2 linked regions of the Drosophila melanogaster genome follow. The protein of the gene in region 1 purifies or fractionates together with the protein of each later gene. This does not show direct contact. Each region holds a gene or a part of one and is shown in the gene's direction. Other genes may lie near its edges.

The links.
Region 2: the proteins of Rcc1 (region 1) and HPS1 purify together in Drosophila melanogaster (affinity purification with mass spectrometry, with the first as the bait; one large-scale study listed by BioGRID). This does not show direct contact.

The regions. Positions count from the first base shown.
Region 1 is NT_037436.4:5,929,383-5,937,542, reverse strand, and holds Rcc1 (regulator of chromosome condensation 1), read left to right. Parts: upstream 1-4,769; 5' UTR 4,770-5,137; intron 5,138-5,225; 5' UTR 5,226-5,261; coding exon 5,262-5,925; intron 5,926-5,984; coding exon 5,985-6,964; 3' UTR 6,965-7,281; downstream 7,282-8,160. Other genes in the region: Egfrap (EGFR adaptor protein), read left to right, coding at 1-144, 2,850-3,138, 3,209-3,489, 3,552-3,773. UniProt on the Drosophila melanogaster protein: Promotes the exchange of Ran-bound GDP by GTP. Involved in the regulation of onset of chromosome condensation in the S phase. Binds to chromatin.
Region 2 is NT_033778.4:14,853,714-14,861,349, forward strand, and holds HPS1 (Hermansky-Pudlak syndrome 1), read left to right. Parts: upstream 1-1,715; 5' UTR 1,716-1,798; coding exon 1,799-3,589; 3' UTR 3,590-3,789; downstream 3,790-7,636. Other genes in the region: Ercc1, read left to right, coding at 1-89; Ciao1, read right to left, coding at 239-1,246; CG33506 (uncharacterized protein), read right to left, coding at 3,800-4,132, 4,195-4,651, 4,711-4,883; U3-55K (U3 small nuclear riboprotein factor 55K), read right to left, coding at 5,248-5,486, 5,543-5,679, 5,737-5,934, 5,996-6,822, 6,873-6,926.

The DNA.
Region 1 (8,160 bases):
CAGGAGCTGTCCGGACAGGAGCATCCACATCCGCAACCCGGCTCGCATCCGCATCCGCACCATCTGCGCTCGCCCAGCTCCGAGGAGGATAATTCGCCCACAGAAATGAATAATTGCCGTCGTTTGGTGGATAAGCCGCCGCTGGTAAGTTCTGCGAGGGTTCACTGTAAGAAATGGTAGTCATATTTTAAAAAGCTGTCGGAAAAATATAAGAAAGCCCTTTATATTGTAGGGTAACACTTCTATATATATTATGCAAAAGGAAATAATAACTCTGAATGGCAGGTCATAATGTATGCCCACTGATTTTTTTCAATACATAACTTATTCTCATTTTTTGCCGATTCCGCTAGTTAATATTAACTATTAGCCAATGTATTGAAAACAGAGACGGATTTTGCGATGCCAGTCGAGGGAGCAATCATTTTTTTTTTTGTTTTGCTTTGTTGCCAGGCTCCTTTGTTGGCCATTTCTCATTGCTCGCAAATTACTTTGCACAGAGCATAAATCTGCTTACGCTGATGATTTGCCAGGAAACAAGAGCTGGTGGGGGAATTTGAAAGGAATTACCTATTGGAGGAGCATCGGCTGGGGATGCACTTAGTGAAAGAAATGCCAGGTAGCGGCGGAAAAGGAAAACTTCAGATCGAGACAGCATTTACGAAATGCAAAAAGCGAGGAAAATGAGGGAAAATTCGTTCAATTCATGTTGCCTAGCTTAAATTCTCTATTTAGTTGTTTTAATTGCATAAACCTTAAATCACTTGTGTGAAATTGCGCTGCTTGAATCGAACTCGAAAGCGACAGGAGTAGGCACTTCAGGTGGAAATTGTTTTTGCCACCAAAACTGCAGCCGAAAAGGAGTTCATTAAATTAATTTGCACAAATGCAAATTTTCGAGTAACGCCACTTTGGCACGCGCCACTAACAAAGGTGCACTAGCTGCACACGACGAAAATGCAGAACAAATGGGAGGACACTGAGAGAAATAATTTAATATTACCCAAAAAGAAAATCCAGAAATATTTGAATGTAAAACATTACTAGCATTTTTTAAAAGATTTTCATGGATTTTAGCAAATTTATATAGTATATTTCAGATATTAAATTTCGCAAGAAATTTGTCACTTGACATGCGAGCATAATTCACTTGTAAAGAGCAGTCCTAAATGTGTTTAACTAAAGTTTAAAGTATTTGCAATTAAACTGCATTTTACTGTCAATTTAAATTTAGTTGAGTAGGGCATACTTAGCACTTTTAAATGCCAATTAAATGAGCAGTAACTCAATTGCCGTCCATAATCCTAAAGCGAGCATAGTTAGCTAACTAATTGCTTTCTTTTGTCGGCAACAACTTGGACCGAAACCCCGTTACCATTCATTCATAACTTTCTACTTAAACCATTTCATGGCAGGGCGTTGAATGCTTCCCATTTTGCCGTAGTGCAGTTTGAAGTTGGATAACACGAGTCCTGGTGAACAATGCAGGATGCCATGGCAAATGGCAGGCAAATGGCGTTAACTTACTGACTTTATGACACATAAATCGCAGCAACAGCGCCAAATGCAACCGACAGCCACGTGTTTTTAGGCCTAGGGAAAGGACGTGGAAAGGAATCCTTGCCAACAGGACAATGGAGCAACTTTTCTCTGGCGCCGCCTGAAAGTAGGCAACGTGCAAAAGTTTCGAACAGATAACAAGGCAAGGAGAAAATGCAAGAAAATCAAATGGCAGATGGGAGCATCGCTGCTGCGAATGCTGCTTAGACACGTCTATTGTGCCATTGTCTGGGAAAATACCTTGGAAAAGTCCAGCCCGCCTCCGCCCCATCTGCATTCTTTACGTTCGGGATTTTGCTGTGGCACTTCTGGAGCTCGAGTCCTTCGCGTTTTGCATTGCATAATGCGCTGCTGTTCCCTTCCGATTGCCATTAGCATAATGGGGGCATTAGGTTGGCACGATGCTCTGATTGCATACTTAACGACAGTGCCAAGTGCCGTCGATGCGCCAATTTAATTAGCTGCAATTGAAGCAACGAGCCTGAATCGAGCGAAAATCCTCAATTTAACTGGCCGCATACTGGCCAAGTAAATCGGCACTCATCTCCATAAAATCAACATAATTATCGCAAGTTAAGACCAAAATAAGCAAGTCCAATTTACGCTTAGACTGCTAATTACGCAACGCAATGGGAAACGATTTAAAAGCTGCAAAATGAAAACCCAAAGGCAGTAGCACAAACTTTTCGTTCGGGGCTCGAACTCATTTCAAAGTAATTTGCCGCAAAAGCCAGTGGTTGCCATAGTGGGCGTACTGTGGCCAAGGGGGCGTGGCAAGCGCTGTTTAACATTTTATTGGTAACCAAAAATTTTACACATCAATCTCGGTTGTTTTCTGTGTGGTGTGGTGGGGGGGGGGGGGGAATTGGAAGTGTGTGGCACGACGTTGTTGTGGTTCTGGCCGTGAGAGCTAAAGTGTGTTTGATGTTTGTTGGATTTTCCGGGCGGAAGCCGGAGCAGGGGTTAAGCTGTGGGGGGTGGCGCCACAAATCCCTGAATGAATACACACCTGCACCGATACTGACGGTCAGGCGAGAGTTGTCCCGAAATCGCCATTATAGCAATGCAAAAACTTTGCCAAATTGGCAGACAACATGCAACATGCAAATCGTACCACTAGCAATGGATGCACTGAAAACAAAAAGTAGTAAATGTTATTAATATTACATCACACTTTACTTAAGTTGCATAACAATTCAAAAATAACTGCATACTAAACAATGGGAATGTAATAATGGGAATGTATTAATACTTATAATTACTTTCTGTGCACTCCTATCCCTTCACAGGTGAAACGCCTGACCATGGGCATTGGACTGCTGCGGGGAACCGAGGACAGCCGCCCCCTGATGCACAGCACCTGCGGCTCCTCGCTGACCTCCGGATCCGGCTGTGGATCCACTCAGACCATCTCCGATGGCTATGTGAACGAGGCCATCTGCGAGCCGGACAAGTACGTGGCCAGCAAGTTCGGCGACTCCTGCCGCCAGTCACTGTCCGCACTGGAGAGTGCCACCCAGCGGCTGCAGGTGGAGCTGCCCGCCGCCAGCAAAAAGTATCTGAGAGAGACGTGCAGCGGTAGGTAGACTCTTATGTCACAGATATGAAATGGTTGGCTAAGGTTACCTTACTTCCGTGTAATTATCAGCCAACTCCAGTCCGAAATTGTTTCCCGGCCACAGTGCCCTGCGCCTGGATAATCTCAGCCTAGCCGAGCAGCAGGAGCTTAAGGGAGCCGCCTGGTTTCAAGCGGGCATTCCCAGGGAAATATCCCTGGAGGCCCTGTCCCGACAGAGTCCAGGTGCGTTTCTAGTGCGCCAGAGCAGCACAAAGCCGGGATGTTTCGCCCTCTCGCTGCGAGTGCCACCACCTTCACCACGAGTGGCCCACTATCTGATCCTGCGGACGCAAAGGGGCTACAAGATAAAGGTAAGTCCGAGCACATTATATATAATATTTATTATATATTATGATGGTATTTACCATTTTAGGGCTTCACCAAGGAGTTCAGTTCGCTGAAGGCGCTGATCACGCACCACTCGGTGATGCCGGAACTGTTGCCCGTGCCGCTGACCCTGCCACGCCCACCTAGTACCCGATCGCAACGATCGCAGGGCGCCTACGCAGGCGGAACCGGAAACGGGGGAGCGGACTTCGAGATGTATGGCTCGCTGAACGACTTTCGCAAAATGATGGCCGATTTGAATGTGTGACCGCTGGGCGCTCTTAATTAATTAAGTAATTATGTCACGTTGATTGAATTAAGCTGCCCAGCTTGTCACATTGTCCTGCGTCCTGTGTCCTCTGTCGCGACAGGATAACAATCTGTTTAATTTGCGTAATTGGCTGTGCTGACGACGGTTGACGTGGCTACCAATAAATAGGGTCCATGTCCATGTGTACTCGGGCCGGCAAAGGCCCACCTGTCCGACAGGTGCTGCAAAAAGTGCACAAACATTTTTTATTAAAATTGATAATAAAATCAGCTACGTGGGCGGCTGCGATGGCTGTGGTTTCGCAGGGGCGTGTTTGCATACACAAATATAGGGAATACGCTCAAATCATTTTTGCGAAACTGATTAAAAAATGGCAAAAACATGCAATATGTATACGCAAACAGACATCAAGTGATTATTATTTTTCGCGTTTTTATCAATTCTGCTCGTTTTGTACGGCTAGTGCTGAGTGGCAGATGCATCAGACAGACGTACTATACATATCTGAATGGGGGCAGTCGGATTAAATGTTAATGTTTGGGTAGGGAAATCGAGGGTCGGCTGCCGGGATTTGGAGTGCGGATGCGGAATGGGCAAAGTGGATTCTTTTTGTATTTGATGCACTCACTTTGCGGTGCAGTGGCTAGATAGACTTATATGGGAAGTAAATGAATAACCAATTATATTGTAACTCTATGTATTTTGTAATAAAGTTAATGGAAAACCTTTTCAAATAGTATTGTTTATTTTCTGATCTATAGCATGCAATATACATACAATCACGTTGAAAATGAAGCATTGGCTTAAAGGTAGAACATTTTATAATATTTAACAACAAATTTGTTTTGAAATAATGTGAGTGGGTAAGGAAAGTTTAAATTTCCCGCACATTATCGATAGCTCTTTCGATAGAATCGGTCGGCAATCGGCTCGCAAACTCGCTAGAGAACTGTTAACCAACTGTCATAGTTTGAGTTCACGCTACGCTCCATTCTAAAAGTTATCAATATCTCGAAATAAATAAACTGTGGGTTATAGCAGGCTTTGTTTTATTATTTGCAATTAGGAACAGTGCAAAGATAACAAAGATGTACTAACAATTGGTCAATAGGCGCAGAAGCGACCCTGAAATTGGAGTGTGACCTCGCTAATAGCCAGATGCGGCGGGGAATTCGCCAAGCCCGCAACACTGTACCCTGAAGGCCAGCTGCCGCCGCTTCCCGCGCATTTTCTTCGACCCAGGTAGGTCGCATTGGGATTCGCTTGCATTTGGTGTTTTCACTCGCCTCCAAACCGCCGTAGCAACACCATCTAGACAACGTGGAACTCCCGCTGAACCAGAGACCGGCATTATTTCCATTGTGAGTGTGAGCAGAACTAAGCTGCATCACCGGCGTCCCTAACCTTATATATATTTCTTACACACACACACAAACGCACTATTTCCAGTTTCGGTGACAAAAAATTGTGAAAATACAAGCTAAAATGCCGCGCAGAAAGGCCCTGACTAATAACAACAATGCCGGCGAAGCGGAGCAGCAGCCACCGAAGGCGAAGCGCGCCAGAATCGCTTTTCATCTGGAGCTGCCCAAGCGGAGGACCGTGCTCGGCAACGTGCTAGTCTGCGGCAACGGCGATGTGGGCCAACTTGGTCTCGGCGAGGACATACTGGAGCGCAAGCGTCTCAGCCCTGTGGCGGGCATCCCGGATGCCGTGGACATATCCGCCGGTGGCATGCACAACCTGGTGCTGACCAAGTCAGGGGACATTTACTCATTCGGTTGCAATGACGAAGGTGCTCTAGGCCGTGACACCAGCGAGGATGGCAGCGAGTCAAAGCCGGATCTTATCGATTTGCCCGGCAAGGCTCTGTGCATTTCGGCGGGAGACTCGCATTCCGCTTGTCTGCTGGAGGATGGCCGTGTCTTCGCTTGGGGCTCGTTCCGGGACTCTCATGGCAACATGGGCCTCACCATCGATGGTAACAAGCGTACGCCCATCGATCTGATGGAGGGCACTGTCTGTTGTAGCATCGCGTCCGGCGCCGATCATTTGGTCATCCTGACCACTGCCGGAAAGGTCTTTACCGTGGGCTGCGCTGAGCAGGGACAACTCGGCCGGCTGTCGGAGCGTTCCATCTCCGGAGAGGGTAAGTCTTGGCATTCAAATTTTCAACGAAATTCGTATTAAAAAAATGTTAACCCCCAGGTCGTCGTGGCAAACGCGACTTGCTGCGGCCCACCCAGCTCATCATCACGCGGGCCAAACCTTTTGAGGCCATCTGGGCCACCAACTACTGCACATTCATGCGCGAGTCACAGACACAGGTCATCTGGGCCACAGGGCTTAACAACTTCAAGCAGCTGGCCCACGAGACAAAGGGCAAGGAGTTCGCACTGACGCCCATCAAGACGGAACTCAAAGATATCCGACATATTGCCGGCGGTCAGCACCATACTGTCATCCTGACAACGGACCTTAAGTGTTCCGTAGTGGGTCGTCCGGAGTACGGTCGGCTTGGTCTGGGCGATGTCAAGGATGTTGTGGAGAAGCCAACGATTGTAAAGAAGCTGACCGAAAAGATTGTGTCCGTTGGATGTGGCGAAGTCTGTTCCTATGCCGTTACAATTGATGGCAAACTGTATTCCTGGGGCTCCGGTGTCAACAATCAACTAGGCGTTGGCGACGGCGATGATGAGCTCGAACCGATCGTGGTTGTCAGCAAGAACACGCAGGGGAAGCACATGCTGCTCGCATCTGGCGGTGGTCAGCACGCAATCTTTTTGGTCAAAGCGGACAAACAGGACCAGAAGGAGAATGTTCCAGTGAAGGTGTCTGGCAGCAGCAGCATCAGTAAAAAGGACAAGACCCCGCCGCAGGATAATGTCGACAAGGAAGCCGAGAATGTAGATAAGCAGGAGCAGAAGGAAAACTTGCCGGCGAAGGCGTCAACCAGCAGCAAAAAGAACAAGACGCCGCCGCAGGATAATGCCGACAAGGAAGCCGAGAATGTAGATAAGCAGGAGCAGAAGGAAAACTTGCCGGCGAAGGCGTCAACCAGCAGCAAAAAGATTAAGACGCCGCCGCAGGATGATGCCGCCGAGGAGGTCGAAGAGGAGTCTGCTCAGGAACCGACTCCCAAGAAGGCCAAGAAGCCTGCTGCCAAGCGGGGCGGTAAAAAGACATAAGATTGAGTATAAATACGCTGACTTTCCCACTTTGTTTTTGGTAACACTAAGTTACGAACCCGTACGCTTACCCTACGCTTAAGGAAGGCAATGAGTAGCCCAGATTCGTAAGATAGATCGGAAATTTTGCTTATTGTACGTTAAGATCTACGAACTGAATCCTGTTAAGTTCTTTTTATTTTGATAAATAGATGCCCGCTTATATCTTACAAGTCTGCCTAAAGACGAAAACTTCTTTATCAATCCAACTAAGTGTTTATTATATATATTCGTTCGCAATACGAAGCCGTAGTAAATTTGTATTTGAACGCAAAAGGAAACTAAATGAGATTTATTTACAAACTAATTAACTTGATTATATCATACACAAAGATATACATCCTACTCACAGTGTATTATAAATTCTTGGCTCAGGCGGGGCAAATGGGAGATTACCGGCAAAAAAGCTACAAAAGATTGGGAGATTGTCTCGTAAGCGCGAGACATCATTTACTCAATAATATCAGGAAACACGAAATTGTTACTCTTATGGTAGGTCTTAAGATTTATACAAAAATATGTATTTGCTTGGAGGGTGGTTCGATTTGCAATGAAGGGAAACATCTTAAAATTACCTTTAAAAGCAAAGGTGTCTAAACAATTCGCAGGACCCGGGAATTCATGAATGCAAGCCATTGAAGTATGTAAGAAGGCTTTAATATTTGTAGTTTTCATACCTGGCAAGGGTCAAAATGGATTATTACGTGTACAGAGGTGAACAAGTTGCATTTACTGCTGAACAAATCGAACCACCCTGGCATGCACAGTTGAGGGTTTTGGCTTCACTACGAGTAGTAACACGGCTGACGATTGCCTCTGCCTGAGTCGACTGTGGCTAGGGAGGTGGTTATGGTAGTGGTGGTGGAGTTTCCGCCGTAGTTGCTTCCCAGGTAGAAGCTCACGAACAAGATGCCGCACAGCAGCGATAGCGAAAGAACGACGCGCACCATCTTCCTTGCGAATGCGATGAATCCCAGCAAATGGCCGCCGGCAGCAACGCCGCCCAGCTGCCAATCACCAGTGCCCTGACAGCTGAGGCACAGCTGCAGATGCGCCTGTATCAGTGCCTCGAGGCATTCGCCATCGTATTGGTCCATCGTATCGGCACAGTCCAGACCTAGATTCATCAAATCAACAGCACAGGCACAGTTCTCCAG
Region 2 (7,636 bases), on another chromosome or scaffold:
AGGAGCGACTCTCCCAGGTGATGGGACTGGGTCCCCGGAAGGCCAAGAAGCTGTACAAAACGTTGCAGGAACCGTTCCTCAGCAAATAGCAATCCATATTAGGTGTAATGCATCCCATAATCGTGTATGACACACTTCATCCATCATTTGAATACTTTAATTTTTTATTACGCAGACACTGTACAAAAATTAAGTTCCAGAATTACCCACTTAAATATATCAAACAATAATCCTTATGTTACTCGGTCACTTTCCAAATTTTAATGGTGCCATCATCGCTGCATGATATCAGTTGCCCGGCCACCACAGGATTCCACTGCACCGAGTTTACGTCCTGATCGTGAGCGCCTTCCTCCGCGGTTATCTGCTCGAACGTGGGTTCGTCTGGCTTGGAGTCGCTGCTCTCCTTAAAGATACGAATGCCGTCGTCGCCACAGGCAGTCGCTATCAGACCTGTAAGCTTGCACCAGGACACGTCGTAGATAGCCCGCGAGTGCTGCCCGGACACTGTGCACACGCACTTCCACACGGTTTGCTGGTCGGGCGTAGCCACTCCGGCTGTATTTCCGGGATGGTAGGCCCTCCAAATCTTTATTGTGGTGTCATCGCTACAGGAAACCAGGCGCTCGCCATCAGCATCGAAGTCAATGCCCCAAACCGTGCTTGTGTGTGAAGTAAGAGTGGCTGTGCAATCCCAGTCGTTGTCTATGGGCTCCTCTGCGAACATTTTTATGGTATTGTCGTACGAGGCGGAGGCCAAAATGTCCTTGGTTGGATGCCACACCACTCTCTTCACGTCCTGTGTGTGCGGGTTCAAAACGGCGGCGCACTCGAACTCATCATCGCCGGCAACCTCCCAGATCCACACGGACTTGTCCCGCGAACAGGTGGCCAGTAGTCCGCCGGATCGCGACCAGCTAACGCTCTTCACCTCGTTTTCGTGACCCTCCAATGTTGCGTTGCATTCGAATTCTCCCGAGGATTTCGACCAGATCGCCGTGGTGGCATCAAAGCTGGCCGAGGCCAAGTACTGACCGCATGGAGACCATCGGATCTCGCGAATAGTGCGCTTGTGGCCATCGGATAGGATGGTCTTTGTGCTCCAAGTGTTCCCGGTCAGCGACCAAATGCGGATGGCTTTGTCCTCGCCGCACGAGGCGAATACGTTGCCCTTAGGATGCCATGCCACTCCCCAGATGCGCCCCTTGTGGCCCTGCAGCGTGTGTTCCAGAATTAAACGTCCCATTGATGGTCAAGTGCTGTATTAGTGGACAAATCACTGTCTGTCCAAATAATGATAACATAAGCGCATGTCGCAAGAAGAAGAAAGTCAGCTGTCGTCAGTGTGGTCAAACGTCGGCAGAAGTCGTTCATCTAGCTTAATTTGTAAATCGGGATAAAATTAAATTTTAAAATTGTGTTCTTCATATCTAAGCAAAGCGATATTGCTTTGCAATAATAAAAAAATGCAATAAATTTGAAAATTCATATATTATAAATTATAAATTAATTTGATCAGGAAACTTATTACAGTTCAATACTTAGTAACTCAACTAAAAGCAATTTCAATTGGCAATTCGGATAAAAAAAGTCGAACGTATACTAGGCTTTTAATATATAATTCTGGCTTGAAAAGCGTTGAATTGCTCAGAGCTGAATCGCTCTAGTGTTGTTAAATGCTGACTTGAAGTCTTCACCTTTTCTTATCAGAACACACACCGAATTCCGTTACCCAGCACCAGTGACACTGGTGAAAGTTTTGTTGTGTATTTGGTGTTTTGCCAATGCTGATAAGAAAATGAACGGACTGATTGTGTTTAACAGCGCCAACGATGTTGTATACCAGAAGCTTAACGAGCCGCTGGCGCAGAAGATCCGGAGTGTGGCCACCACCCAGGGCCTGCTCCAGTCCGGCGGCTCCCTGGACAGCAACATACTGCTGCAGATTTTCAGCCCCATCGTTGGATCTCAGCGAATAATGCAGTGCCAGTTCGATAATGCCTACTCCAGCCTGCAGTGTGAGCAAGGCTTCAATTTGGTGTTCGGCGAACTTCTTGGCTTCACCTTTCTGAAGATCGGACAAATACCCGTGGAGCTGCTGGGTCGCCAAATGGGTGTGGCCATTACGCTGACGCGCTATTGTTACGGCGCCAATTTGTTTGCCGCCCAGGCGGGGGCCATGCAACAGGAGTTGCTGACGCAGTGCCTCGACTGCTATGAGACTTTGTTGTGGGAGGAGGATCAGACGTACCTGCTGGAGGCCATGCCCAGGCTGCTGATCAACACGGAACTAAAGAGGACAGTGCATCTGACGCTGGACGCCACGCTTGAGCACTTGCGCCAGCTCGGACTGCCCCGAGCCCACGCCCTGTTGCTCGTTTCCAACAAGCTGGTGGCCGCGAACAGCACTCGGCAAGCTCTGCCGCTTGCTGCCGCCGACCTACTCTTCCTCAGCCTCATGTCACGCGCCCTGCAAGCGCCAAAGTCCCCTTCCCAGCGAGCAGTAGCTGTATTCCTGCAGGGTGTCTCCTATGATGTGAACTCTGGCTGCGTTCCCAGTATCGTGCACATCTCGCGTCTCCATGGTAACCAAGTTCTCCTGCAGGTCATCGAGTACGCCCACATGCCACTGACCAGCTGCATCTACGATTCCTTCTTTGTGCTTCAAAAAATCGTGGCTGTTCAGCATCAGGGCGATTCGGATGCCCTGAAGCCCGCCTTCGAGAACCTCGAATCGTTTATTGTGCAGGCCTTGACCGCTTTGAAGCGATATCTGAAACAGCGATCGGAAACCGATGACCTAGAGAACTGCACGAAGAAGTTCGCCGCTAAATGGGAGAATCTTCGCAAGATGTACACTGAGTACTTCAAGAACTTTGAGCGGGAGCTGCTCGTGAGGATTGAGTCGAATTTGCCCTCGTTCGGAGAGGAACTGAAGCAGATATTCACACTGGCCTGCTGCGACAGCTCAAGTGTCCATGAGCTGGATCAACTCTCTGATACGGCAGCGAATGTGGAAGCCAAGCTACTGGAGTTCGCTGAATTTCTGGCCGTTAAGGCCACTCGTAACATATCCATTGATGCTTATTTGGAGGATTTTCCGGGTCTGGTGCACTTTATGTACGTCAATCGCAGCCGAGGACAAATGCTTGCTCCGGATCTGCGACCGAACCAGCTGGTGCCAAAGACAAAACTCTGGAGCATGGTGGAGATCGCGAGAAATTACCTTAAGAAGGGCCAGACCACAGTGATGTGGAAGGATAAGGCATTCCATTACTCGTACTTCCTCTGGTTCGAGGACATGTCTGGTGGCGTTCTTAGTACCGTCGTGGATTTGCAGCACCACTTTCTGTCCACAGGAGCAGCCAGTGGCAACGGTTCGAAATCCCCAACAGAACCAGGTGCTCTTACAATGGACTATTACCACGATCTGGCGGAGTTGTGCTTCCCCAAGCTGTCACCGGCCAAAGTGCGCGTCTACGAGTTGTATTGCATTCATCTGGGACTGGTAACCGCCACATGCGCCGTGGAGCATGCACGTCGCCTGGTGGCCACCATCAGTGATGTTGTGGGCGAGGAAGCGTTTTAAGTGCATTGGCCATTGGTCATTCCAGATTTATAACATGATTTCTAGTCAATTTTCGAGACTCCTAGGCGAGATAATCCACTCGAAATTTTGTTAGGTTTAGGACAACTATCATCCACTGTTATAGGCTACACAACAAGGATATTTGTAAAGTTATTGGAAACATATATATTTTCTTCAACCGGCAATAAAAATGTAACAATAAATGTGTGTTTACTCTGTTTCAGGCTGTTGCGCCTTTTTGAGTTCCTCCAGCTTCTCCAGGAAGAAAGATTTTCGTGCTGTTAGCGGCATGGACTTTTGCCGAATCATATAGTTTTCGTTGCCCAGTGCAGTGTAAACGTCATTTCCAATCAGCTCCCTCAGCGCGATGTTCTTCTTTAGATGTTTGTCGTAAAAGCTAGCTCCAGCTGCCACAAGTTGGGGACCCATCGTGGCCAGTCGCTGGTCAATCTCTGCGTCCGTAGAGACCTGATTGTAGTCTTTCATGAAGGACCAGAGCCCTAAGCCAAACAGACCCAGAATGCTGTAGAGCACAAACCGCACCTGGTAGTTGAAAAACGGAAATCAGTAAAAAATTTTAAAAGTGAGAGAGGTTGAAAACTCACGCTTCCATGGCGGGCGAAGAGATCTAGCCGCAGGTTGAGGTAGTGACCCATGGTGTAAACCATAAGAAAGCTGACGCTGGGAAAGATGGAGTTGAGCAGTACCCGATGGGTTTGCATCTGCAGAACAGCCTTGCTAAGACCGAAAATCTGTTCATCCTCATTCAAAACGATGGCTTCCTCTAGCAGTTTTCCGCTGGGAGAACTCCAGTTGATCTGTTTGTCTCTAAACCGAATGTCTGCCCGCTTAATCTCCTCCAGACTGTCGTATCCATAGTTCACCGGTATGCCCAAAGCGCCTCCAAATCGAAACTTAGTGGTGCCCGCCTGGAAAACATCGAATCCAAAGACGGTGAAGGGCTTCACAAACTTTCGCTCAAAGGGCGTCACGCCCAGCTGATCCAATGCCTTTTCCAGGCGCTGCTGCACTGCCTCCGGCACTGGACGCCCCACGCCGTGTCTATGAAAAGAAGTGGGATGTTAGAATCGCTTCCAGTCACCAAAAGTTTTCTCACCCACTGGTAGCATTGCACGAAATCGCGGTAATATTTCAGGCCGAATGTGTGCGGCAGGAAGTTTCCAAGAAAGAGGCCCACTGTGGTGGCTCCCGCCGCGTAGAATACGAGTTTTCGGCCCTTTTCAGTCTTAAAATAGGAGAAGAACCCTCCACCGGTTTTTAATTTCGGCAACATTTCAGCACTTATTGTTTTGTAACAGGGCCAGTGTGACCATGACTAGCTATTGAAAGTAGCCAACACTAAGGAACCATTTGCGGTTATAACAAACCGAATATCGGTTTTAGAAAAAATATTTGAGCTAATGGAAATAGACGACCAGATACCCCTTACTTTAATATAAGGAGTTAAATTTCAATCTGAAGCAAATTTAATAAATTCAAAAACATTCGTTTGATCTTGTTTATAAAGAACAAATAAATTTTATATGTTTGAAAGTAAGAACCTTCAGGTAGAAGATACAAATGATCTTTATGTATATATTTTCAGGCCGTTTCTTGTTACAAAAACTATACAACTTTACTTAAGCTTAGAAGTTAACCTAACTGCTGGCCGCGCTCTGTAACTTAACGTCGAGTACAACTACTTGGTTTTTTGCCTCCTTGAGTCGCCACCAGCGACCCAGGCGGTGCTCCTGTCCGGTGGCCACAAACAGCTTGCTGCCATCGGCATTGAAAGCCAGTCCGTTGATGAAGCCGGCGATGGATATGCTCTGGATTAGGTTCATTTTACGCGCGTTGGGATTAGTCTGCCAAAGACGGACGCAACCGTCACAAGAACCTAGAATCATGAATATTTAATTACAGTTCGCAGTAAGAAATATGCGCAATTCCCACCTGTTGCCACTAAATCCGTGTTGACCACCACAGCAATGGCGGTTATCCAGTTGGCCACGCCATTCTCGCCCACTCCGTGCGCCAGTTGCGTTGTACAAATGGGCTTCTTTTTCAAAGCGCTCCATAAACCGATTGCTCTGTAAAATGGTGTTGTTACTTCCATACTGAATTAGTTAGCCAGACTCCCAACTTACCCATCCATGCCACCAGACACAAAATGCTCATCGTTGATGTACTTAACGCACTCAATGCTATCTTTGTGTCCATTGTAGATCAGCTGCGATTCCTCTGTGATCTTCCAAATGCGCAAGGAGCAATCCGAACCGCCAGCGGTAATGGCGCGCTCTCGACTCAGTGCATCTATGCTAGTTACTGCCGTTTGGTGACCGAATCTGAAAGGAGGAGCTCGTTAAATGTCTGATATTAAGGGGGATTAACTAGCATAGTACTCACAAACTCTCCACATAGGCCATCTCATCCAGGGACCAGATTTTCACCGATCGATCCTTGGCTGCCGAGTACAAGTCATGTGTGCCTTTGCGAAAGACCAGACCTGCCACACTATCCCGGTGGCCTTTAAGAGTCTTAATGTGCTTCATCGTCTGGGGACACCAAATTTGAATGTGTGGACCACCTTCGGCCAAGGCCAGATACTTCATGTCCGAGGACAGGCATATGCTGATGACATGCGATCGCCTTTTCTTGCCCGTTTCTGGTTCCTCGCGATGCGACAGCACGTCCGATTTCTCCAGCACCTTCCCCGTTTCCGTGCACCACTTAAGTAGGAATTGCGATTTGGCTCCCGTGTAGAGGAATTTACCATCCGGACTGAGTGCAAGGGCACAGATAGGCGTGTGGTGGAGTTTGTGCTTGAGGATGCGGCTCGATTCGCAGGCTTTCAGGCTGCCAGCAATGTTCCGGCGCAGTTTGCCCACGCTATCCAAGTATTCCGTTTGCAAGCGCTGCTCCACGCTTTGGGCCAGCTCCCGATCCTCGGCGCGTTCCGCCTCTTGCTTCTCGATCTCCGACAGATACTGTTTGGCCAGACGCAGGCGCTTGTCCTGCGGCGTTTCCTCCTCGCCCTCGTCGGATGAAAATGCCAAGGTGTTGTCATCGCCGCCCAGATCGCTGTTGTACTCCTCATCGTCGCTAGCTATCTCCTCGTCCTCCTCCTTGGGACGGCGCTGCTTCTTTGGCACTGGTCCACCAGCCGCGGGCGTTGATTTACCCGGTTTTCCGCCTTTCTTAAGCGGTTTTCCTTTTGTTGTTGCTGCGGGATTCTGTTGAAAGCGTTACAGGTGCCGCTCTCTACGCTGCTTGATTCACTTACCTTGCGCTTCTTGGTGCCCTTGGCGCCTGGCTTGAGGAAGAAAGAGGACGACATCGTGGAAAGTAACTAGTTGCGCGGCTTTAATTCAATATTTTTGATAAAAAACTTAATTTAAACGAAGGAACGTCTCCACGTGCATATAAGGCGCGTGTCCAAATTTAGTACTTTTGTGGTATCAGCTGTTTGGCGAGTGCACATCAACAGGCTGAATGCTATGAAACTGCGAGTCAACACGGCCACCCTAAAATTGGCGCAAAAATTATACGCAAGGCAGAATATTTAAATTATTAAAATTAAACCAAGTAAATTGAAAATCGAAAAAACAGCTTCAAATAAAAAAACCACGGTTTATAGCTTGAATATATATCTTTATTTGTTATATTTCGATTATTAATCAACTAACAACTAAAAATCATAATTAAATCAATTAAGTATGTGCTTTTGAATTCATTTTGTTTATTGTTTCCTCCAATGGGCATAAAAAAATTACATATTAGTTAAGCTTGTTGTTGGTGGTCAAAGTAATGTGTTTGGCTTGCTAGTGCTATAAATTTATCACAAATTTATGTTATTCTGCAAGTGGTTTTTATTCTTCTTTTCGGTAATAATTTATGTATACGAATGTGAGCGCGCCGCATCGAAAAGGATTTGAATACCTACAGATCGCGGCGAGGCGTCGCTCTCCGGCGGAGAACGTTCCGTTGGCTATCTAAAACTAAGTAACGTGTAAAAGTAATCGTAGTAAAAACGTATTAGGAATATCG